Drosophila melanogaster: one gene and its partners. The protein of the gene in region 3 purifies or fractionates together with the protein of the main gene of each other region. This does not show direct contact. Each region holds a gene or a part of one and is shown on either strand. Other genes may lie near its edges.

Evidence for each region.
Region 1: the proteins of scra (region 3) and cdm purify together in Drosophila melanogaster (affinity purification with western blotting, with the first as the bait; one study listed by BioGRID). This does not show direct contact.
Region 2: the proteins of scra (region 3) and Septin5 purify together in Drosophila melanogaster (affinity purification with mass spectrometry, with the first as the bait; one large-scale study listed by BioGRID). This does not show direct contact.
Region 4: the proteins of scra (region 3) and Myo61F purify together in Drosophila melanogaster (affinity purification with mass spectrometry, with the first as the bait; one large-scale study listed by BioGRID). This does not show direct contact.

What each region holds. Positions count from the first base shown.
Region 1 is NT_033777.3:18,178,751-18,185,482, reverse strand, and holds cdm (cadmus), read left to right. Parts: upstream 1-2,003; 5' UTR 2,004-2,136; coding exon 2,137-2,292; intron 2,293-2,390; coding exon 2,391-2,887; intron 2,888-2,949; coding exon 2,950-3,631; intron 3,632-3,736; coding exon 3,737-4,336; intron 4,337-4,402; coding exon 4,403-4,600; intron 4,601-4,660; coding exon 4,661-4,798; intron 4,799-4,857; coding exon 4,858-5,417; intron 5,418-5,433; exon of another isoform or gene 5,434-5,481; coding exon 5,482-5,566; 3' UTR 5,567-6,208; downstream 6,209-6,732. Other genes in the region: CG7208 (uncharacterized protein), read left to right, coding at 338-825, 890-1,700.
Region 2 is NT_033778.4:7,959,633-7,963,458, reverse strand, and holds Septin5 (septin 5), read left to right. Parts: upstream 1-1,537; 5' UTR 1,538-1,616; exon of another isoform or gene 1,617-1,676; 5' UTR 1,677-1,809; coding exon 1,810-3,078; 3' UTR 3,079-3,326; downstream 3,327-3,826. Other genes in the region: nito (spenito), read right to left, coding at 1-7, 66-616; CG2915 (uncharacterized protein), read left to right, coding at 3,749-3,826.
Region 3 is NT_033778.4:7,588,548-7,595,749, forward strand, and holds scra (scraps), read left to right. Parts: upstream 1-1,571; 5' UTR 1,572-1,896; coding exon 1,897-1,914; intron 1,915-2,020; coding exon 2,021-2,335; intron 2,336-2,398; coding exon 2,399-3,326; intron 3,327-3,390; coding exon 3,391-3,756; intron 3,757-3,814; coding exon 3,815-3,986; coding exon of another isoform or gene 3,987-4,038; exon of another isoform or gene 4,039-4,122; intron 4,123-4,147; coding exon 4,148-4,286; intron 4,287-4,353; coding exon 4,354-4,530; intron 4,531-4,591; coding exon 4,592-4,813; intron 4,814-4,870; coding exon 4,871-5,234; intron 5,235-5,347; coding exon 5,348-5,646; intron 5,647-5,709; coding exon 5,710-6,429; 3' UTR 6,430-6,695; downstream 6,696-7,202. Other genes in the region: CG1360 (uncharacterized protein), read right to left, coding at 1-424, 720-987, 1,048-1,142. UniProt on the Drosophila melanogaster protein: Required for cytokinesis. Essential for the structural integrity of the cleavage furrow and for completion of cleavage furrow ingression and proper formation of the midbody.
Region 4 is NT_037436.4:1,322,655-1,330,148, forward strand, and holds Myo61F (myosin 61F), read left to right. Parts: upstream 1-1,908; 5' UTR 1,909-1,916; coding exon 1,917-1,975; intron 1,976-2,462; exon of another isoform or gene 2,463-2,598; coding exon of another isoform or gene 2,599-2,606; intron 2,607-3,340; coding exon 3,341-3,485; intron 3,486-3,546; coding exon 3,547-3,662; intron 3,663-3,718; coding exon 3,719-4,181; intron 4,182-4,243; coding exon 4,244-6,507; intron 6,508-6,569; coding exon 6,570-6,666; intron 6,667-6,746; coding exon 6,747-6,761; 3' UTR 6,762-6,963; downstream 6,964-7,494. Other genes in the region: CG9184 (uncharacterized protein), read right to left, coding at 1-48, 98-128; ND-ACP (NADH dehydrogenase (ubiquinone) acyl carrier protein), read left to right, coding at 7,487-7,494. UniProt on the Drosophila melanogaster protein: Unconventional myosin that functions as actin-based motor protein with ATPase activity. Binds to membranes enriched in phosphatidylinositol 4-5-bisphosphate, and can glide along actin filaments when anchored to a lipid bilayer.

The DNA of each region.
Region 1 (6,732 bases), on a different chromosome or scaffold from region 3:
GCATTCAGTGTCGTAAAGTGCCAAGCATACTGTAAAACGAAAGCTTTGGCATAACGGTTCTAAAGATTCTCCAATAAAAAAGCGCATCAACATCTTGAATATTCTATTTTGAGAGACACACTTATTTTGTATATTACCAATTGTTAATTCAAGTTTTAATATCTTCTCTTACATAAAATGTTCGTCAAAGTGAAATTAGATGCCGAGGGAAACACAAGTGTGGTATGCAGTTATCTTAAGCCCGCACATATTTTACAATTGTGGCTTATAAATGGAGCTATAATAATTGAAGCTTAAATTTAATAAATACATATTTTCATTTCTCAATCCCATACAGATGCCGGAAATGTTCGAGCTCCACAATAATGCGACCATTGGTGAATTGAAGCAAAAACTGGAGGTAAAAGTAGGTCTTCCCTTGGCTCGCCTAAACGTACAGAGTTTTCACAAGTCTCTGGAAAACGATGAGTTTATTACAAATTTGCTCAGAATTCCGGATAAAAGCGATTATACTTATCCGTCGACAACGCTTAATGGTACAGCCTTTTCGCTGTACCACGAAAATTCCTTTGTAGGATTTCTCCAATTCTATACAATTCCAGAGGGCAAGAGCCAACTGGATTTCCTTAACATGCCGAAGAGCTCTATGCTTCTGCCAGTGGACAGGCTTCCGCAGTTTTGCGAGGCTTCGAACTCGCAAGATTCCTCCGCATCCAGTGCGTCGAACCAGACGAACGCCAGCTTCGAATCCGCAAGCACGAGCGCCAGCTCCGTAGCGCGAAAGACGAGAGTGTGCGCCTCCGATGAGGAATCGGCTGCCAAAAGGTGTGTGTTGTGTGTAATAACTATATATGTAAATGATAGGGATACCCAACTGATTCATTCACAGAATACGAAGCAACCAAGAGAACAGCGTGGTCAAGGTGGTTCCGCAGCAGAATCTGCTCGCGGACAAACGAGCCGGCAGCATGGCTTCCATATTTGGTTCGAAGATCCACCTGATGAACTGCTGCAAGACGGAGACCAGCCGCACAAGCTGCTCAGTGGAGCAGGCCGAGGAGTGCAAGGAGAGGAAGAAGGACTGCTGCACGCCAAAGAATTGTCGCAAGAGGGATACTCGGCCGCCGTATGCGAACACAATGCCCGAGAACCGACGTTACGCCTTGGTGATAACTAACCAGAGTTCGTGCTCGGATGGTGTGGACACTATCGCCCTAATGGAGCACTTTCATTCAATATTCGAGGACAGTGGATCGAGCGTCAGCGATCTCAATTTTAGTGAGTGTGCCTCAACGCAGACATTCGACTGCAACATGCTGGTGGTCTGCGAGGATAACGAAACGGCCCAATGGGTCATCGAAGCAGTCGAAGGTGTGGAGCCGCCCCACTCCTGCCAGCCCTTCATTAAGTTCTTCGATCTAGTGAGGACGACCTTTGTCCTGCCCTTGGTCAGTCCGAATAAGTCGCTCTGTGTGATCTTCGCATTACTGGAGTCACAGAACCCGGGCTTGAATACCGACAGATGGGCCGTCGTTAATCGCTCCACTTTGGACTGCCAAGACGTGGAGAGGCAGGTCGCTCAATTCTGCGACAACGTCCTTATTGAGGTGTATATCGATGAGGATAGCAGGGATTTCATCGCCGACCGGTGTTCCAAATTGCGATACTGTTTCTGGCAACTTAAATTCGATTTTATATAGGACTTTTTGGGCTTTCCAAATTCACTGTTAACTTGTTAAGATACTCCTCAATTGCAGAGAGTATTTACTAAATAGAAATAGTAAAATTTTATGAAGTGTACGAATGAATAAATGTTGTTATAAATTGAATTTTTCCTGCATATATCGAGCATATAGGCCACAAGCAATTTATACTATATTACATATTTATTTATTATTAAATACGTACATTTCAACACTTTTTATAAAAAATACAGGAGGAAAAAAAGCGCGGCAAAGTCGAAAATGGAGTGACCGCACACTCGGCCCGTCCGCGAATTGGTGACTTCGCGCGTTGGTCACACTCGCGAATCCAGTGCCCACAGGCAGAAGCAAAGAAAACCACCACCCGAGGATTAGCGGACAGGAGACTGCCTCTCGGCAGCAGCAGCATTAGCAGCAGCAGCAGCCATTCCACATGGAGCCCATTGACATTGCGCGTCTGGAGGAGGCGGTCGTGTCGTTCTACCGCTCGAACTCGCAGAACCAGGCGATCACCCATGAATGGCTTACCGATGCGGAGGCCAGTCCACAGGCCTGGCAGTTTTCCTGGCAGCTAATGCAGCTCGGCAAGGTGAGTACCACGCAGGACCTGCGCATCAATGCATCAATTACCCGGATATGTATACTCATGCACCTACCGCCCACCCAATCACCCCACCGCCCACACAGAGTCAGGAGGTGCAGTTCTTCGGCGCCATCACGCTGCACTCCAAGCTTATGAAGCACTGGCACGAAGTGCCGCCAGAGAATCGCGAGGAGTTAAAGCAAAAGATACTCGAATCCATCGTTCGCTTCGCTGGCGGACCGAAGATCGTCCTCAATCGGTTGTGCATCTCGCTGGGCGCTTACATCGTTCACATGCTGGGCGAATGGCCCGGCGCCATCGAGGAGGTGATCAACACGTTTCAGAATCAACGGATGCCAAATGTCAGCGCCGATGTGCAATTGTGGATCATGCTGGAGGTGCTGACCGCCATTCCCGAGGAAGCGCAGGTCATACATACGTCTGTCAAGCGGGTTGTTCTGCGCGCCGAGATCGCCAAGCGAGTGCAGTTGGTCATTCACACCGTTGAGCGATATCTGAAGCTGCAAATGAACCGCGTGTGGGATGCCGAGGCGTACAGTAACATGAACAGGGCCGTTAAGTGCGTCGGCACCTGGATCAAGTGAGTATTCAATTTACAAAATTATTCTTTACACGTTCTAAGTGAGTTTCCAACTTGGACAGAAACATCGGCTACACCATTGAGGGCTGCGTCACCATCACCGCCGTGCTCCTGGAAGTGGTGCACAAGTGCTATTGGCCCTGCATACACGCCGGCGACGGCTGCATGACCGCCGATGAGAACGAACTGGCCGAGTCCTGTCTGAAGACCATGGTGAACATTATCATCCAGCCAGACTGCCACAACTATCCAAAGACGGCATTTGTGCTTATAAAAATGTTCCTGGACTCGCTATCCGAAATCACAAAGACGGAATGGAAGAGGGAGAACGACAACGAGGACATTATCGTACATATCTACATGCTGTTCGTCTCTTCGGTGGAGCGACATTCGACGCTGTTGCTCAGCGGCATCACGTCCGCGGATCCGGAATTGTCTATCCTAGTGCATCGCATCGTGCAGGAGATTCTCCACTGCACGGACAAGCCGGGCATTTACCCGGTGGAGGAGTCCTGCAGCACAATGGCCTTGGCGTTTTGGTATATGCTGCAAGACGAAGTGTTCGCCATGTCTAACGATGAGCAGAAACACAAGTGCTGGGAGTACATCAAACCATTGTACGCCCATCTAACCAGGATTTTAGTAAGAAAGTCAGAGCAGCCAGACGAAAAGTCGCTCGCCAAGTGGAGCTCCGATGATTTGGAATGCTTTAGGTGCTACAGACAGGATATATCCGATACCTTTGTGAGTGGTTGCAACAGTTGGAGTGTCTCCAAATCGAAAGGATTGGCTACCGTTTTCAACTATTAACAAACAGGCATAATATAGCATTTATTTTATTTATTTTAGATGTATTGCTATGATGTGTTGAATGACTATATCTTGGAGATTCTGGCTGCCATGTTGGACGAGGCCATTGCCGATCTGCAAAGACATCCCACACACTGGACAAAGCTGGAGGCGTGCATCTATTCCTTTCAGTCGGTGGCCGAGCACTTTGGTGGCGAGGAGAAGCGGCAAATACCACGGCTGATGCGCGTGCTGGCCGAGATTCCCTACGAGAAGCTCAATGTCAAGCTACTGGGCACTGCGCTAGAGACAATGGGCTCCTATTGCAATTGGCTGATGGAGAATCCGGCGTACATTCCGCCAGCCATTAACCTACTGGTGCGCGGCCTCAACTCCTCAATGTCAGCACAGGCGACGCTCGGCCTGAAGGAGCTGTGTCGCGATTGTCAGCTGCAGCTGAAGCCGTATGCGGATCCGCTCCTAAACGCATGCCACGCTTCCCTAAACACGGGCCGCATGAAGAACTCCGATTCGGTGAGGCTTATGTTCAGCATCGGTAAGCTAATGAGCCTGCTGCGGCCAGAGGAAATACCCAAATACTTGGATATTATCGTCAGTCCCTGCTTCGAGGAGCTACAGGCCATTTGCCAGGCAGATTCGGTGAGTAAATATAAATATAAAATATATAAAGAGATCAGTTGCTAACCATTTCTTTTGTTGCACTAGAAAACTCCCGCTGCTCGAATTCGCACAATCTTCCGGCTCAATATGATCTCCACTCTCTTCTCCTCGCTAAACACGGATGTGGACGAGCAGGCGACGGACCAACCGATTGTGCAGCCAGTTCTGCTCGTCATGCAGCGCACGATGCCCATCTTCAAGAGAATCGCCGAGATGTGGGTGGAGGAGATCGATGTCCTAGAGGTAAGGCAATAAACACAAAATTTTGCATATTTTTAATAAAATGTTATCGTATTCATATAGGCCGCTTGCAGTGCGATGAAGCATGCGATAACGAATTTAAGGAGCAGCTTCCAGCCAATGCTGCAGGATCTTTGTCTCTTCATTGTTGCCAGCTTTCAGACCCGATGCTGCGCTCCTACTCTAGAAATATCCAAAACGGTGAGCCTTACCAATATATTGCAAATGACTGAGTGATCTAATAGAATCCTTTGTTTCAGGCCATTGTTATGTTCTTTAAGGACGAAGGCTGCAAGCCGCTGATGCAGCAACTTCTGAGGGAGTTCATCCAACACAGCTTTAAGCTATTTGAGAGCACTCCCGAGCAGAACTTCTCCAACATTTCGGACACCATGGAAACCTTCTTCGGCTGTCTGACGCAGATCATTAAGAAAATCCCTCAAGTTTTGGAGGACAAGACACTGGCCTACGATCGTCTGGTCTTTTACGCCCAGCGTGGAATGACTTTGCCGGAGAGTGGTGCCATCCGAAATAGCATACAGTTTCTTACCCACTTTGTGATGCAGTCGCGTAACCATGCTCATGTCACAGAAGTTGTCCTGGCCACCGGCGAGCAGACGCTGTACACGGCGATGATGTGCGTGGGCTACCTAACGCCGCGGTCGCAGGTGGATAAGTTTGCAGACATCCTTCTTGCCATGAACAGAAAATATGCCGCCGAGATGGCCGTCTGGATGAAGTCCCTAATGTCCACTCCCAATTTCCCCACACAGCTCATAACCGACGCGGATAAAACGCGCTACACTGCTCTAATAATCAAGTGAGAGGCGTTACTTATATATAGATCCTTAAAGATTGTATTAATTTTATAAATTTTTTCACAGGGAAAAGGTCAACAAGAGGTTATTGCAACAACATTTGTCGGAAATGGCAATGAAGACCCGAGGACTTACAGAAAAGTTCCAGTGAAATGAGTGTATGCAATAAGTGGCCAAATGACATCTTTATCCATCCGGATTTTGATCTAGTTTCTATAATTGTATTTAGTTTGTATTTAAATAGGCCGTCAGCTCTGTAAATTGTCTCCAATTTTAACTTAAGTTCAAAAGTTCTCGACTTGATAAACTTTTATTTATAATTTTTACAAAATTACATGCTCCATTTACAATTTGCACATATATATTGTTTTAAGGGTGTATAACTCATTTTTCATTTATTGTTTTCACTTTTAGTAAATGTTTTATAGTTTTTGTTTTTCCCATATATATATATATGTTTAATTCTTATGTTGAAAAGTTTGATTTTCACCGTTTCCTGTATGAAAAAATCTGCCTTTCTAAGAATTACTTTCCCTTTACCTCTCCACCCATATTATTGTTTTGCAATTTTCCACATTGTGTATGTATCTATAATGCCAAAAATATGTAAATACATCTCTTTATATAATATATATATATATATATATATTTGTGTCTATAGCTAAACTGAAGCCTTTCGTTTTTGGCGTGTACAGCACTTGGTAGTGGTAGCAAAACTCTTTTGATCTGCTTCGTCGCCTTTGTCTAGATTCTAGATTAGTTGAGAGTATCTGCATAAATCCTTGTCTAACGGACCCGGTAATGACTTGACTATGGAACTAAACGACTGGTTGACACGGATCCAAAATTACAGTTTAACATATAGATATAGATTAACGTATAGAAGTAGACGCTACGACCAGCAATTTGTCCCAGTCTGTTGTGGTGACGTTGTAAGGATGCTTATAGGTTATCAACTGTGCTTGGTGGACCAGAAATTGGCACATCTCTATTCCTTGGCGGTCCGCAGGATCATCCACGGCCAGTCCAGGACAAACAAAAATGCCTAATTCCTTTTGATCGGTGTTCAGGAACACGGTTCTCCGCACATATATATATATATATATTTCTATATTTAATAGGTAGTACATACAAAAATACACTCACGCACATACATACCACAATTTATGTGTCCTGCTGGGCGATTTGTTTCATATAAATATATTATGGGTATGCTGCTCTAACTGCTAGGCTAAATAGCGTACAATATTTGCAAATTTGAGTCGTGGAGTAGTAAACATGTTTTATATAGTATGTGTGTATAATAGTGGCATGTGG
Region 2 (3,826 bases), 370 kb from region 3:
GCGTGGTCTGCAAAGCATCTTAGATTAGCCAAGGCTAACAAAATAAATACAAAAATAAATCCCACCTATATTCCGGTCTGGTTGTGGACTTGTACACCGGCTCCACAATGGCCATCTTGTCGTAGATGATCAGGCGCGGCTTATGGTGCTTCGCCTCGCGTGCATCTTCAGGCGTTCGGAAGCAAACGTAAGCAACCCGTTCATCCAAGTCGTGCGCCAGTCGCACGCTAAAATCGCCAAACTTCTTGTACTCGCGGTACAGTGTCTCCTCGATAAAATCGTCCGGAGCCTTTGGCGGCAGGGCACTGACGCAAAGTACCTTGTAGCCAGCTGGTCGCTCTGCAGGCGGTGGACCACGCATGTAGGGCTCCCGGTGCGGGGAGCCATAACGACTCGGCGAGCGGTCCAATCGACGTCGCATGCGCTCCGGCGACAGGCGCTCCGGCGAATCGCCAGGCACGCCGCTGCCGTTGTCGTACCCACGACCCATGCTTCGCGAGTTGCGCGACAAACTGCTCCTGGAGGCCGGGCCCGGGGAGCGCGAGGCGCTACGCTTCATGTTGTGAATTTTGATTGTGATACGATCGGCTCCGGCTCCGTCTCGATGACTACTCATGGGCGGCTATTCCGGGGCGCTTTAACTCGGTGTGTGCTGCCTGAGAACTTTCTGGCAATTTAGTTCCGGGGATTCTGCGAAGAATTCGAGATTTGCTTTGTGAAAGTACGGGCGAAATGCAAGAAGACAAGCGGCGGTCAGGTAAAAAGAAAATGGCGGCGCCCCGCAAACAAAGAAAATCGCGTTAGGCGGAAAAATTCTAAAATCAGAGCAATTCAGATCGTTTTTAGAGTTCTTACCACTTCCGGCTTTTTTGGATGTTTATTTTTAAGTGCTAGTTTACTATTAAGTCGCGGATATTCCACAAATTCTTCAATTTCCTCCGGCTTTGCAAATTCTGTATGCGTCGAAAGTTAACTGCGGTATTCGATAACGATACGTGTTTGCTATCGCCATTGATGGTCCCGTTCATGGTATCGAGCCATATTTGTCCATTTTATAGCCAAACGTTTGATTCATTTTTATATAATGACATAGTTATAATCATATATAATTTCAATGTAGTTTTTAATAGGTTTCTATTTCTGTAATATATTTCGGCGAACTTAGATATAACAATAAAAGTTTTTAAGTTTTAAGATCATAAATCTTTAAAACACGCGAGATTAAGACAACGCGATATACGTTTTGTAAAGGATTTTTTTATGAGGTGGAGAACTTTAAGTTGGCATTACTGTTCAAAATCGCGACCGACTTAACATTTGCCGTGTTATTGCCGATATATGACCACAAATGTTGGAAAAAGTCATCGAATATAATACGTCCAGATGGGACTTCATTCGAGCCAGCCGTGGCGTCATAGTCCAGAAATCATATATAAAATGTACTGTCGCAAGACTATCTTTCTGATAAATAAAATTCATTTTGATCGAATAATCCATCGTTGTTTAACTGCAATTGATAAATGTTAGTTGAAGCTGCTTTAATCGATATAGTCGCGCAGAACTGTCTCGATAGACAACTGAGGCGGGCACCGCATTTAAAATCGTCAAGGCTGCAGGTAAAAGGAATCACAGGTAGAAAACTCTTAGATACAGTTTAATTCTCGGTACGCCACCAGATGCAGGAAAATCCAAATGGCTTATTAAGAAAAACGACTAGGGTTTACACAGGCTGCACATACGAGAATTCCGGGTATAAAGAGTGGCGCCTGCGCTGGGTCGTGACATTATTCTAACGAAAGCACTGGCGAAATGGTTCATTTAGTGACTGAAAAGAAGACGCAGGAGGTGGCAACCAAAGTCCCCAGGCTCCTTCAACTCGGCGGCCACGTGGGGTTCGACACCCTACCGGACCAGCTGGTCAACAAGAGCGTCCAGAATGGCTTTAGCTTCAATATCCTATGCATCGGCGAGACCGCTCTCGGGAAATCCACTCTCATGGACACACTGTTCAATACCAGTTTTGGATCTACACCGAGCCCGCACAACCTGCCCAATGTGAAGCTGAAGGCAAATACATACGAGCTGCAGGAGAGCAACGTCCGCCTGAAGCTGACCGTCTGTGACACGATCGGATACGGAGATCAGGTTAATAAAGCGGACAGCTACAAGGCTTTGGTGGAGTACGTGGACAGCCAGTTTGAAGCGTATTTGCAGGAAGAGCTCAAGATCCAGCGAGCGATGGCCAGTGCTCATGATGGACGCGTTCACGCCTGCCTGTACTTCATCTGTCCCACGGGCCATGGTCTGAAAGCTATGGATTTGGTGTGCATGAAGCAGCTTGACACTAGGGTGAACATCATTCCCGTGATCGCGAAGGCCGACACCATCTCCAAGTCGGAGCTGTCGGGGTTTAAGGAACGCATAATGGACGAACTACGGCGGAACAATGTGAGCATATACCAGTTTCCCATGGACGACGAAACCGTGTCCGAAACAAATGCTGCGATGAACGGCCATCTACCCTTTGCCGTTGTTGGCAGTACGGAGTTTGTAAAGGTGGCCGGAAAGCAGGTTCGTGCCCGCCAATATCCATGGGGAGCGGTGCACATAGAAAACGAGGCGCACTGCGACTTTGTGAAGCTGCGCGAGATGCTCATTCGCACTAACATGGAGGATCTGCGCGAACAGACTCACACACGCCACTATGAGCTCTTCCGCCAGCGGCGCCTACAACAAATGGGCTTTGTGGACGTGGACAGCAACAACCAGCCGGTCTCCTTCCAACAGACCTTCGAGTCGAAGCGATCCGACCATCTGGCTTGCCTACAGGCCAAGGAGGAGGAAGTGCGCCAAATGTTCGTTCAGCGGGTCAAGCAGAAGGAGAACGAGCTGAAGGACAACGAGAAGGAATTGCATACTAAGTTCGACCGGCTAAAACGGGAGCATTTGGAGGAAAAGGCCCAACTGGAAGAGGCCCGTCGGCAGCTGGAAGAGGATTGCCAGGAGCTACAGCGTCGTAGGCTCCAGATGGCCAATGGTTCGCACACTCTCACCTTGGGCAGGGGCAAGAAAAAGTAGTTAAGTTTAGAATGTTTTCGATTTTACTAAAACTGCCTATGCGATTAAATTTCTACAAACCTTACCTATGACTCCACTCCTATACCAAGAAGTATACTAATTTTGATATTTTATTTCTTTTTATTTTAACGATCTATGATTTCCAATTAAACAGTTTATAAATAAATTATATTGAAAGAATTTTAATTTAGGTTACGAGTTCCAGTAATTTTAGTTGTATAATTAAATACAATAAAAATATAAAAAACAATATTGAATGCGAATATGTCTAGCATATGAAAAAGAGTATACATTTTTCAGTAATTTAAAAATACCAAAATATAGAACGTTTACATATGTATGTATGTATGTACATAATGAAGGTTATGTTTGGACAGCGTTCTCTATAATCCAGCCCTAAATATCGTAATTACCAGACTAAATATGAATTAAATGGGATACTTTTCGCGGAACTGTTTTATGACGGTCATAACGCATATGTCTCTTCGAAATTTGATCGCTTGGAAACCCTGGATTAGTCGAAACAGCTGTAAACGAACTTCAGGTTTTTCAGCCCTTTCCGCTGGCCGCTTCTTCTGTGGATGTGGACCCGGCTGATAGCGATAGCAATAGCTAGCTCTCCGCTGTTCTCGCCGCCTCTCGCTCGTTCTCTGGCACGCCAAGTGGAAAAATGGGAAACAAAATTATAAATATGCCAGCAGCGCGGATCGGAACGCAATGGTTAGTCATTCTGTGTGTAGCGATGGCA
Region 3 (7,202 bases):
CGTCTTTAAACGCGTTCGACTTCAGCTGGGCAGCTATTTGCAGCAGTACGTTCTGCTTCTGGGTTTTGGACTGCGTTTTTGGTGCGGTGGGCGCTGGCTGGGCAGGCTTCTTCTTTTTCTTCTTCGATGTCTGACTTGGGTTTTGGGAAGCTATGCCGACTGGTTGGGACGCGTTTTTGGATGGAGCTGGCGATTTCGAAGGCTGCTGCTGTCGCTGAGGCGCTTTTTGCTGCATTTTCAGGCCTGCATTGATATCTTTATTCGGCGCCTGAGACTTCTTCGTTTTGGCCTTCTTTTTGTTTTGGCCCGCTGGCGCAGGTTGTGTGACTACCATTGTCTCCTCCGTGGCTTTTACTTTGGCGCGCTTTCGGCTCTTCTCCAGAGCCAACATTGTCTTGTGATGGCAAACATCGCAGTCCACGGCCTGCAAAATGAATTGGGTTGTGGTTAGAGTGGCAGGAATGGGTCCATATGTACACACACAAAACACTGTATAAAGATCTTTCAGCTTCCTTGGTGTTAATTTAAATTATTATTTGCCCAGAAGCTTGATACATAAATTTATATTGCGCTTATAAGGTACTAAACTATCCATCTATACCATTCATCCATGGAAGCAAAGAGATATTATATTTATATTTATGAAATTAAAGAAATAAAAGTATTTTTTCCCACAATCTAGACATATTCTAGACATTCTATTAGCTCCTGGTTCTCACCATGTTACTGGCCATACGCTTCTTGAGCCACTTGGCCCGTTTCCTGGCCCCGCTGTTCATCTCGCCCTTTGCCATCTTGCCCTTCACGGCTTCCAGCTTGGTGATCAGTCTCCGGTTCTTAGCACTCTGCATCAGTTCTTGTGGCTGGAGGTGGAGCTGGTAGCGGCCACCTGTCCACTGGTTCCCGCAGCGGGAGCACATGCGTGCGGGTCCAAAGCTCTCCTCGGGCAACTGGACATTGTGCCGGGCCAGCTTCCTACAGGTGGTTCTGGGTTGTTTTGGAAACGAAATTTTAGTGGGTGCTTAAGGAATTGACAACGGATCTCACATGTAATAGGATTTGAGGATCCGTTCTGTGTGGGTTTGGTCGGTCAGCTTGGAGGCACAGTTCCACAGCAAATTTACTGTTTTTTGGTCACTCATGGCGGACGCTGACAATTTACTGAAAAAACAAATTCTATATATTTAAGCGTAATTATTTCCAGAAATGTTTTCCTACATTAATTAACGAAACCCCAACAGAAAAGCCAAACTTAAAGAGGTAGCCTAAATAGAGGAAACATGCCAAAATTCTAGCCAAAACATACAGCACTGACGGCACAACGTGTGCAGCTCACCAGAGAAATCAAAGGTGCATTTCAAGCCTAATTCCAGGTTCTTAACTTACCAGCTATGCGTGATAAATATTGAAAGTGATACGTGGTAAATTACGGTTGGATATTCATATTATAACATCAATAAAAACCCTTTTTGATAACGCTTTAAGAAAAATAAACAGCTGTCGGCCGAAATTAAACCGGTAAATATGTGTGATTGGTGAACCGGTTTAACCATTGATGTGCGACAGAGCTGCCACCCTGCCAAATACGACAAAGTGGCAGCCCTTGGCAACTCACCACTGGCATTTTCTCCCCAATTTCGGTATTTCGTCGTGGTCAGTTGAGGGTCCTATGGCATTTGCGCGTCGTTTTGAAATTATTCAACACATCTGAAAAGCCAACCGCCGAAACGAGCAGAAGCGACGCGCAGAATTTCGAATGCAAACGGACGCGCAACCCGCCAGTGAAAAACAAACATCAAATATCGCCAACGTGGAGTGTCGAGCAGTACAGTGAATTCAATAGCATAGTGCGCGCAATCACAACTCGCATTTGCATTTGCAGCTGCAGCAACAACAATGGACCCGTTTACTCAGGTACGAGGCCAATTCGCACACAGCAAAGCCCTTTGTCTGGTGATTGCACTGGTGTTAGTGAAGGCACCCGCGGATTTTCACTGCTATTTCCCATTTTCCCTTGCAGCACATGCTCGAGAAGGCGGAACAGCGCAGTCGCGCCCTTGGCATCAGCAATGCCAGCAAATTTCCGCTCGTCGAGTGCAGCGTTCCAAGCTCCTCCGCCACCTCCGCATCCGGCGGGGATGCTGGGGTCCTGGCACCGAGGAGCCGGTCGCCTGGAGGCCAGAGCGCGGCTAGCGGCGGCGGCAAGGTCGTTACGTTGGGAAAGGCCACGCTGGAGGCGTCGCCGGCGAAGCCGCTGCGTCACTATACGGCGGTAAACAAGGAAAACTTGGATATGGGCATAGAGATAAACATAACCACGGACAAGCCAATTGGGGTAAGTTTTCCCGTTCTTTTCTGGGTTCTTCCCTTTTGCTCATCCTTGCTGCACTACCTTCAGGTGCAAGTTGAGATTCAGGAGCAGGAGGTGACAGATGACGAAGAGCAGGCGGAAGGAGGTGCGCTAAATCCCCTGCTGGAGGCGGAACCAGTAAACCAGCCCCTAGCCAGGCTAAGGGACACTTCCCGCAGCCGACTGCAACGCATGGGTGCCCTGTACTCAAACACGGACGATCTATCCTCCCCAATCCACCGAACCGAGGGGCAGTTCCATGTGACAACGGGTGAGGAAGAGGACTGCGGCAACCGTAGCAGCAGGCAACCAAAACAACGGTTGGGCAAACTGGCCGCCTTGGCGGATACCATCAATCAGTGGGAGGATGACACGTCGCACCACGAAGTGCACAGACTGCTCGAAGCACCTCCACCGAAACCGCATTTGTCCAGTCGAAGGGCCGAGAAGGGTCCAGCTCCACTGCCACCCAAGAAGGATGAAGTCGACGAGGCAAGCAGGACCAAGCAGCTGAAGTGGGATCCCAAGGTATTGAGCTCTCTGGAGGCACAAGGTTTTCAGCGCCGCGAATCATCGACCATTAAACACACATATGATTATGCCAAACAGGAAGAGGCGGCCCCAGCCTCCAAAGTGGAAGATGCGGTATTAACTGCCAAGCCGCCAGTGCCGCAGAAATCAACGACGGTCAGCCAGGTCGCCAAGAACTTTGCATCTTCCGCCCCAGCGCCTAAGCCCGCACCAGCGCCTGCTGTTAGTGTGAAGTCCGGCTTGGTTTCCGGACGGGCGGCTCTCTTTGAAAACAAGGGAACCGGAGGACAGTCGCAAGGCCTACGCAACCAGAAGGATCCTTGTGAGCTGTCGCTGAAGGAGCGGATGAAGCTGTTCGAAACGGGCAACAACAAAGCGATGTTGCCGATGGCGCCAATAGGATCTGCTCCCAGTATTACCCAAATCCGAGCGGAAGAGGTGAAACGTGAGTTTGGCAGCCCTTCTATATTCATAATAGCTACTCATACTCATTTTTTTTTTGTTAACAGAACATTTAGCTGCAATGCATCCGGTGACTGCTGCCGCAGCTACTACCGTGGTTGCAGCAACCAAGCCGAAACAGGAAAACAAGCTGCGTGACAAGGTGGCCGCTTTGGTGGCAAATGCGCAATCAAGTGCAGAGACGCGTATCAAGGACATTGATCGCCAAAGGCAGGAAGACATGCAGATTATTTCTAATCGCTTTAACAAACAAAAGGAGCTCTTTGACAATCAACCATCCGATAGTTCTGTGGCTGCTCAAGCTCGACCTCCCGCGCCAGCTCCCAGCAGAGTAGTGCGGCCCATGCCACCGCCTCCACCACCGCCCATCGCTGCTCTCTCGCCCGGACTGGCCAGCAGCAAGAGGCGATCACGTAAGAAATGACTAAACCCTTTATCTAAGGACTTGTCCTTATACATCCGCAATTTCAGCTGGTGATGCGCCCACCACTGACGAGGATTCGAAGCGAGCCCGCAAATCGCATTCGGATCGTCTGTATCCCGCCCTGTCCGACCTCGACTCCAGCGGTGACAACTGCTGCGCCGCCGAAACTGCCTCCGCTACGGATGACAGCCATCAACAGGACGAGGAGGAAACCGAAAGGTGCGCTGAAAAATGCTATTCCTGCTTGCTATTTCTGCTCTGCATCGAGTAGCATTCCAAGACTGATAGGCCTAAGAGACATAGCTTTAAACCCCATCCCCTAGACAAGACCAACAATAAAATCGCTTTCTTAACTAACCGTTTATCTTTGATTCGTGCAGTTGCATGGATGAGTCCGACGACCAGTCACAGACTGAGGACAGTAGCGCCGGCATGTGCAATGGCAGTCTTGGCCGCGAGATAATGAGCGCAGTGCAGCGCAACGAAGTGGAGATGCAGCAGCAGCAGACGGGCAAGAAGGTAAGTGCAGGTAAAAACTGTCAACACAGCGGGTGGTCACCATTAACACGATTTCACACCTTTCCAGACTGTGCGCTATGCGGACCAGGACATGTATTACGATGACAGCTCTCTGAACTCGTCGCAGGTCTCAGCGGGCATCGATGATTATCTGGATGAAGCACTTGTCGAGGACTACGGCAGCACTCAGGATGACCAGAGCGACAGCGGGGACGAGCAAAATGCCAGTCGGCTGTCCTTGGGCGTGAGTACTTGCTGATTAAGTTTCCTCGTATATCAAAACAATTCTTTAATTACATTTTCAGAGCAAAGGAACGACGGCCTCAAACAGCTTTTCCTTCCGAAAAAATCCTGCCTCTATTTGCACGCCTATCGAAGAGCACCATGAGATGGAGATGGACCTGCAGACGCCACTGCTCAGTGGTGCCCAGCCGGTCAAGTCTGAATTGAGTGTCAACCAGGACAACGACAACCTGGTTACCCTGGTGCACACGGTCAGCTTCTATCGCCGCCAACAGAGCGCTAACGTGAGTTGATTACTTATATATCACAACTAACAAATTCTAAGTACTCGTTGTTTATAGAGCTCCAATTCCACACCGGTTCGCAAGATCTGTCGAGAGCAGCAGGTCATGCGATCAGCCCTAGCAGGCGATTGTCATGCCAAGCACAGACTGGAGTACGACTCTCCTCAGCAGTCTGATTATGTCGCAGCAGCAACTGACATAGCTGATCAGACCGACGAGGACGATGAAGAGATGCAGAATGCGCGGGAAGTAAACGATGCATCGCAGGCACAAGACAAGATCAAAAAGCTGTTGAGCGAGGTGTGCAAGCAGCAGCAGGTGATAGGACAAGCCAGTCAGGCCCTCAACCTTTGTGCTGCCACCGTAGAATTCTCCGGCTCCACAGAGTCCGTGGAGGGAGAGCGATATCTCCTTCTTGCAAGTAAGTGTGATCTTCAGTGTATTCAAGTATAAATTGCCTGTTCGTTGAATTCCAAACCGAATTGGCAATTTGAATGTCCAATTAAGCTGAACATCTCTTTAATATCCTTGCAGCCCATCGACGCCAGGCGTGTTTGGATGAAGTCCAGCGTTTAAGAGTTGAGAACAGTATTCGTCCGGTGGGTGCACCAAAAGAAAAGGGCCTACTGACGGTCAAGGACATAACCATTCCACTGCGACAGGAGTACGTGCGTAAAATGGCCTCGAACAACATTAACGGCCATCATCTTGTGTGCCTCCTGAAGTACAATGAGCACGTGCTGGCCACCAAGACAGTACCCACGATGCCAGGGCTGCTGTCTGTCAAGTTTCCCGATGTCCTGCAACTAAACAATGTATATGCTGACTTCAGGGTAAATATTGCTTTTTGCTTCTTTAGCCAATATTCGATTTTATTGCGAAAACTTCGTCTGCAGATCACGCTAGAAATCTATGGCATGTTGGCCCAACGCGATCAGCTGCCTCACGAGCTGAAATACCACATCAACTTGAACAAGAAGGGTGGCATCAAGACGCCAAAGAAGAAGGGCGGCGAGAATCGACTGGTGATGCCGCCAGTACAAAGTCCGGCGGGACCGCATGTGGTACGGACACCGCAGCTGGTGCAATACGGCTTTGCCATTTTCTCGCTGCGTGAAATTCAACGCACCACATGGACGCTGACCCAGGTGCTGGGCGTCAGTCCACTGGAGGGTGTGGTTCACATGAAAGTCAATTGCGAACTATCCGTAAGCGTGGAGTACAAGGGATTCCTTACCATGTTCGAAGACATCTCCGGTTTCGGGGCATGGCATCGTCGTTGGTGCTATCTGAATGGCTCCGTGATCAACTACTGGAAGTACCCGGATGATGAGAAGCGCAAGACGCCAATGGGTAGTATAGATCTGAATTCCTGCACTTCGCAGAAGGTGACCACGGCACCGCGCGACATTTGCGCCCGTCTCAACACCATGCTGCTGGAGTGCGAACGGCCGGCGCTGGAGACAGACCAAGAGTCCTTGATAATCGTACCCAACGGACGTACCACCACGGTGCGCCATCTGCTCTCAGCCGACACAAAGGAGGAGCGCGAGGAGTGGTGCGCCTACCTTAACAAGGCACTGACACTGCTGCGCGCCTGGGGAACCACCCACTGACCCGCTGACCCATTGCAATTTTGTCAGCAGCACGGACAATGACCACAAACGGGCGGGTTGTTAACAGTTTTCTCTTTTTAAGTTACTCAATTTGCTATTTTAATCGTGTTCGCATTGGTATTAATTTTGTTTTATGTTTCCAATTCAAATTTTTCGTTTCCATCTTGGAGTGGGACACGTTCGTGTTCGTCTATATCGACATAACTTTTTACTTATGTACATTTAATTTAGGATGACTCGCTAAATATATATGTGTAAACCCCCGTAAAAAGAACTAACGCCAATTGTACACTGATTATTTAATATAGTTTATTGAATACTTTTATACACGTAGTACACATTTACATTCACATATGTATATCGTTTTGCAAGAACTCGTGGCTAAGAAGAAATCGCTACGTGGCTTCCGCGTGTTAACTATCTTTTTATCTCTGACCATCCGGAATCTAACAACAAGTGAAAGTTAAAGCTTGCGTGTTATCACGACGCCGGCTGTTCTAGTGCCCATCTCGGCTTCGGCACCAGGTTTTCTGTACTGTGTAGGTGGTTCATGTCAGGTAGTCAGTGTGTCTGCTCCTTGGCCATCTCAATTGACTCTGGGTGGAAGATTGTAACTTCCTTGCGTTTGTCACTTGGCCTAAAGGTCGGCCTAAAGGCTATCTACAAAAGTGGATTACGCATTGCCGCCGGCGGAGTGTTCAGTGTGGGTTCCTCTAGTTCACAACACTATCAAATGTATAGATATATATTTCTCGTATAGGTATATATGTATG
Region 4 (7,494 bases), on a different chromosome or scaffold from region 3:
GCGCCTTCTCCTGGAAACAGAGGCCGCTGACCAGCAGCTGCAGGATAACTGAAAAGGATGTGTCACTCTTTCTAGGCAGCCGATCGTCCGTACTCACCCAAACCAATCGCAGTCACTCTCCGATCCATGATCTCTCTCGGAATAACCTGACCACTCCAGTTGCATTGCCCTTTTATACGCGGTGCATCTGTGATGAGATGTGTGGGATCTCGTTCCCGGTTTCCTCATTAGAATAACCCATGCAGTGGCCCAAATTTGGGATGCCTTTCTTTCTTCTGTGTCCATCTCCATCTCCATCCCCAGCTCCAGCTCCAGCTCGAACTCGATCTCGATCTCGGATCGATCAAGCACCGTTCTAATAACTGCGCTCATTAATTTGCATATGATATAAATGCTTGTAGGGGCTTTGTGGGATCTTTCCACTTCTCATTCCACTTCCATGATCGTTCTGCCAGCCCTGCATTTTTCCAAATGAATTCGAAGAGTTCAATATCCCGCGATATTGCTGCTTGATATATGACGACATTTGAATGCAGATGAAGGTTGGTCATGCCACTGAACAAAAAAATATTCAGCAAAGCTCTTGAGTTGGCAACAAATTTTTTGGAAATATGTGCCCTTGAACTTATTGTATTATCGTTGAGTTTCCGTCTTTAGAACTTATCTTTACTTTTTACGAATGTATTTCTCCATCTCGCTACAAAGCAAATCAGCCTCTGCCTCTTGGTTTCCTATTCTTAATGCTCGACTATTTCTTTCGGTGTGCGATTAATGGGTTAGGAACTTTTTCGTTTGGGTGGGACTCATGGTTTTTGGGTTCCGTTATAGGTCGTGTGTCGTAGACATGTTTACGAGTCGTCTGATACAACAAAATGTGGAGTTCTCTGTTACATCACCCGTTGGAGTATTTCTGGATCGGGAAACCAGTTCCCCACTCTATTAGACCGCTGAATGGGGATTAAAGAAAGAGTGGATCAAGCCGACAAAAGCAACGCCCCCAGGGAACAGAAAGTCAATGACTTCATAGTAGGGAGAAACCGTGTTATTGCAGGGATATTGAGCAAAGTATAATTATAATGACTACACACTCATTAATATTTACAGTTTAATTCATTTTATATCCCCCAGCTAGTTTATCTAATCATGAAAGTATCTGTAGAGGCTTGCCCCGCCACCCAGTCAACTTTGGCAACTCTCTTATCATACAACATATACTCGTGTCAATTGGATCCCAAACAGTTCCATGAGATCTGCACTCACCTGCCCTCCAACTTGTGGATTCCTTAAATAGACGTAGCATAATCTTAGGCGATGGTTGGTTTGTCAAAAGTGCTAAAGTGATTGCAGAATGACTGCAAATGGCTGTGCCCATTGGGTGATGTATTCGTATATGGTTTTCGACATGATCGATATCCACTTCCATCTGCCCTACGTGCAATTAAACAATTATGTGACAAACATCGAATCACGGCGAGCTCGGCTCCAACGACTGGGACGTGTCTGCCGGTCTCTTCGAGAATTCCTGGGAAGTCTTCCCGGCAAACATTTCGCAATTAGTCAGGCATTCGTTCCAGTTCCACACAGCAAATCCCCTTCCAAGTGGCGCAGAGTGGATGGAAACACACAATAGTGGCGGTGGAGGCAATTGCAATCTAGTGTGTGTACTTACAATGTTTTCATTCGGCAATGACTTATTATTTAGCACACTGATAGCTGATAACACAGTGCTAATGTGAGCTGGAGCACTTTTCTGAGTCGGGGTTGTGAGTTTCGAGCTCTGACTCACTCAGAAATGTCCCGAAAGCGCGGCAGTCATCTAGAAATCTTGAAAGCATTAAGTTATAATTTACATTTTGGAGAAGCAAGTTTATGAAATTAGCTAATTGTGGAGCAAGAACTAAGTAAAGGAATTCCTTATGTACATTGAAATCAAATCCTTGATCTTCGCAATAATGGATACTAAGGACTACATAGAGTAAGCAGTGCTAAGATAAAGAAAGTGAATAGATTATAAATCATATAGAATAATTCTTGATTAGTTATCTAAAAACCAAGAAACTGGTTCGCGTAGCTAGGAGGAACCACATTATGAATCAACTGAAAACATTGGGTTGCTCGGAATGATGGGAGATGGGAACGCATATATCTTTAGGATTGACGCATGCGAAAAAGACGTATCGTGATCTCAGGTACTTGGAACTCCGGAATACAGCCGATCCGGAATTCTTTGGTGCGCTGCGTTTCTGTCATGGTCTCCTAAATCGGGTCCCGAGTTTATTCGCGAAAGGCACTATCTAATCGGGGACTGATTGGCGGCATTGCCCTCCTCATCGCAGTCATAGGTATATTATCGTTGATAAATGTGCCGACTAAAAAAAAAGAACAACACAAATTCCGACGAGGCCAATTGATATGTGGAGAGGAGAAGTATTGATGGTTAAAACGCCTCAACTGCCAGCGGATCGGTTTAGTTTGCCAACGGAGCCGTCAAAGGGCGGAATATGCGCGGAATCTGACACATCCTCCAGAGAATCATCAATTGGAGCTATCAGTGGTGTTTGTGCAGTAGTGTTGTGGAACAAGAAGAATCGAACAAACATGGCCAGGTAGAAGAAGCGTGATTTGAAGAGAATCCATCTAGAGATGTGCAATTGTTTACTCAGTGACCTAGTGAAGTGTCCTTGGATAATCCCACAGTTATATGACCAGCATTTCTTAGGAATCTTAGAAATCCTACCAGTCACAAATCCATTGCATAATCGTTTCTTTTATGGTTTTACCCGCCGCGTATCAGCAGAACTGGAGCAGTCGTCCAATAAAGCAAACTCTTACCACTTGCCCACTTCCCTTGGCCCCATGAAATATGGCATTGATAAGGTGAATTGCACCTGCCCACCATTACTTCTATGGATCTATAAATACCCCAGATTGGGTATTTGCATTGGGACTCATATAGAATATTATATTGGATATGTCTGATGAGATCATTTGGAATTGATCAACAATATCCACATTCACGAGTCACTATCATTTGCCTGATTCATTTCCGCAGGACTGTTATAAAATATTGTCGAATAGCGAAAATCTTATCTTTGGGGTTTCGGCTTTCTATGGGGCTTTTCTGAATTGGTTTTCAAGAGGTTTTTCCTAATCAAGGTGGTTAAACATGGCAACCCTTTCAGCTGGGCAGTCCGATTAGGTTCGTCAAAGATAAGACCTATGAAGAGGATTTTCTTAGGAAGTTGAAAAATTAACAATGAAGCAAGCACCAATCGTTTCTGTGGGATCTGTATTTAAGGAATCATTTTGATGCTTATGTGAACCCCTTTCTTTGCTTTAGTTTTAATTCCCAACTGAAAATGGAGACGGGCCTGCACGAGCGTGATCGTGCTGGAGTCCAGGACTTTGTGCTCCTCGAGAACTACCAGAGCGAAGAAGCCTTCATCGGGAATCTGAAGAAGCGGTTCCAGGAGGACCTGATCTATGTGAGTAAAAATAGTTAAAGAAGATAGGTCAAAATAATGATAACGATATCCCCTTTCGCAGACCTACATTGGCCAGGTGTTGATCTCCGTGAATCCCTACAAGCAGCTGCCCATCTACACCGATGACCATGTCAAGGCGTACAGAAACAAGCACTTCTACGAGATGCCCCCACACATGTGAGTCTCAAGACCAAGTTGCATTGAACCACCAAATAATGAGCATTCCTGTCCAGCTTTGCGGTGACTGACAACGCCTTCCGTTCGCTGATCGAGGAGAACCGCGGCCAGTGCGTGCTCATCTCCGGAGAGAGTGGTTCCGGCAAGACAGAGGCCTCCAAGAAGGTGCTGCAGTTCATAGCCGCCTGCTCCGGCAACCAGACGACCGTCGAGGGCGTCAAGGACAAGCTGCTAAAGAGCAATCCCGTGCTGGAGGCCTTCGGCAATGCCAAGACAAACCGCAATGACAACTCCTCGCGGTTCGGCAAGTACATGGACATCCAGTTCGATTTCAAAGGAGCTCCGATCGGAGGCAACATCCTAAACTATCTGCTGGAAAAGTCGCGAGTGGTGGCTCAAATGGGAGGCGAGCGCAACTTCCACATCTTCTACCAACTCTTGGCCGGCGCCGACGAGGCCCTTCTGCAGGAACTGCGCCTGGAGCGGGCTCTGGACACTTATAGCTACCTGACAGATGGGGTAAGTGGGCAGCCTGGAGGGTATTGACAATTGGTCTCTGATCTTCGAGTTCTAATCCACAGCTCAATGGCACCGTGACGAGAATTAACGATGCGGACAGCTTCAAGCAGGTCCAGCAGGCTCTCACTGTGATCGATTTCACCAAGGAGGAGCAGCGCGAGATCTTCGGAATCGTGGCCAGCATTCTGCATCTAGGAAACGTTGGCTTCACTGAGGTGGAGGGCAATGCCAAGGTGAACAGCAGGGATCTGGTAGTCACCGCTGCTCGTTTGCTGGGTGTAAACGCAAGCGAACTGGAAGCCGCCCTAACGCACCGCACAATTGACGCTCGGGGAGATGTGGTGACCTCACCACTGAACCAGGAGCTCGCCATCTATGCCAGGGACGCCTTGGCCAAGGCTGTCTATGATCGTCTGTTCTCCTGGCTGGTTCAGCGCCTCAACATCTCGCTGCAGGCGAAGGAAACGCGGGCATCCAGAAATAATGTGATGGGCATTCTGGACATCTATGGCTTCGAGATCTTCCAGAAGAACAGCTTTGAGCAGTTCTGCATCAATTTCTGCAACGAGAAGCTGCAGCAGCTGTTCATCGAGCTTACCCTTAAGTCGGAGCAGGATGAATACCGCCGGGAGGGCATCGAGTGGATACCTGTGGAGTACTTCGACAACAAGGTGATTTGCAATCTGATCGAGGAGAAGCACAAGGGCATCATCTCCATACTGGACGAGGAGTGCTTGCGACCAGGAGAGCCCACGGATAAGACCTTCCTTGAGAAGCTCACCCAGAAATTGGCCCAGCACCACCACTACGTTTGCCACGAAAAGGCGCCCGCCCACATCAAGAAAATCATGCTGCGCGATGAGTTCCGCTTGGTGCACTATGCCGGCGAGGTCACCTACAGTGTCAATGGATTCCTGGACAAGAACAACGACCTGTTGTTCAGGGATCTAAAGGAGACCCTCAGCAAGGCTGGCAACGGCATTGTGAGGAACTGCTTCCCGGAGAAGGAGCTGCGCAGCCTGAAGCGTCCGGAGACGGCTATCACCCAGTTCCGGGCATCTCTTAACAACCTCATGGACATTCTGATGTGCAAGGAGCCGAGCTACATTCGCTGCATCAAGCCAAACGACCTGCAGACTGCCAACGTCTTCAACGATGAGTTGGTACTGCACCAGGTCAAGTACCTTGGCCTGATGGAGAATCTGCGTGTGAGGCGAGCTGGTTTCGCCTACCGACGAACGTATGAGCTCTTCCTGGAGCGCTACAAGTCCCTGAGCAAGTCCACCTGGCCCAATTACAAGGGTCCCGGTGGCCCGAAAGCGGGTGTCCAGCAGCTGGTGAAAGATTTGGGCTGGGACGAGGAAAAGTACAGGGTGGGCGAGACGAAACTATTCATCCGCTGGCCGAGAACCTTGTTCGATACGGAGGATGCCTACCAGGAGAAGAAACATGAGATAGCGGCCATCATCCAGGCCCACTGGAAGGGATTGATGCAAAGGAGGAAGTATCTGAAACTGCGTGCTCAGGTGATCATAATGCAGAGCTATTGTCGCCGAAAGTTGGCACAGCAGGCGGCCAAGAAGCGCAGGGAGGCCGCCGATAAGATTCGTGCCTTTATCAAGGGCTTCATCACCCGGAACGATGCCCCGAATGGCTTCAATGAAGAGTTTATTGCCAACGCCAAGCGTATGTGGCTGCTTCGACTGGCGAAGGAGCTGCCCACCAAGGTACTGGATAAGAGCTGGCCCCATGCCCCTGGGCACTGCGAGGAGGCCTCCGGCATCCTTCACCGCCTGCACCGTCTCCACTTGGCCAGGATCTACCGCCTTAAACTGACGCCGCAGCAGAAGAGGCAATTCGAGCTGAAGGTCCTGGCGGAGAAGGTCTTTAAGGGCAAGAAGAACAACTACGCGAGCAGTGTGTCCACTTGGTTCCAGGAGGACCGCATCCCCAAGGAGCACATCCAGCGAGTCAACGACTTCGTGGCCAGCACCTTCGGCAGCGAGCAGCTTAAGTACCAGTCCTTCTGCACCAAGTTCGATCGGCACGGCTACAAGTCCCGCGACCGCTTTATCCTGCTGAGCAACAAGGCTATATATGTCCTCGACGGCAAGACCTACAAGCAGAAGCACCGCCTGCCGCTAGACAAGATCGACTTCACGCTGACGAACCACAACGACGACCTGATGGTCATCCGCATACCGCTCGACCTGAAAAAGGACAAGGGCGACTTGATTCTGATCATTCCGCGCATAATCGAGTTCAGCACGTATATCATTGACACCGTGGGAACTGCCTCCATCGTCTCCATTGTGGACAGAAATTCGTAAGTTGCACATCGGTTATCCCAGTGGTTTTCTCTTGACTAAGTGTTGCATTCGTTTCCAGGTTGGAGCACAACGTAGTCAAGGGCAAGGGCGGCGTCATCGACATCCAAACCGGCGCCGAGCCCGGAGTGGTTCGTGATAAGGGCCATCTAGTTATCGTAAGTAGTGCGAGCTCCAGCTCCTCATGAGGAAACGCCCATTATCGTGCTGACCTCACACACCAAATATTTCTTTTCAGATTGGAACGCAATAAGGAATTTACTATGACTTTCTTCAGAAAAGTGGCTTTAAATCAAACGACCTTGTTTTGTTATATTCGTGTAATTTATAGTGTAACTATGTATTTTTGTTACTGCAGCACCTGAGAGTTGTGTATTCGGATTTTATATGACTAATGTTCCAACTAAATGTATATTGTTTAAAAATACATATAAATATATTACAATTTGTATATGAATTGGGTTCTTATCACTAACTTGTGGTTTTTCAAAGAGGAAACGTGGCAATTTTTCTAGTCTCTTATATCGTTTCTTTCAAAAAGAACCGCCCACTCGATTGGCAAAAGCAGCAGTCGATAACTTTGCTTTGAAACGTCAGTTCGGTGCTCCAGACTTTAAAAATCTCGTTAAAGTCGTGCCCAACTCACAAAAGAAGATTTCAGCTAACGTTACTACTGAAATTCATGTGAATTAATATACCACTAACAATTATTTAACTGTAAATTATAGTTGGGAAAGTTACTTACTCATTATTCAAGTATTAAGTATTTTTAGTATTTATTTGCGTAAGTTGAGAAACAGCTTAGTACATTGCGCATACGGTCACACTGCTACCTTGCTGTCTTTTTCTTGCTCCAGCACTTTTACATAATCTTGAAAACTCAGCGTAAATATCGCCCAAAATACGAGACCTGCACTCGTGCACCGTCTGCAGAGATGCGATACTAACCCGCTGCGTTTCCGTTGCAGGAGAACCGAGATGTCGTT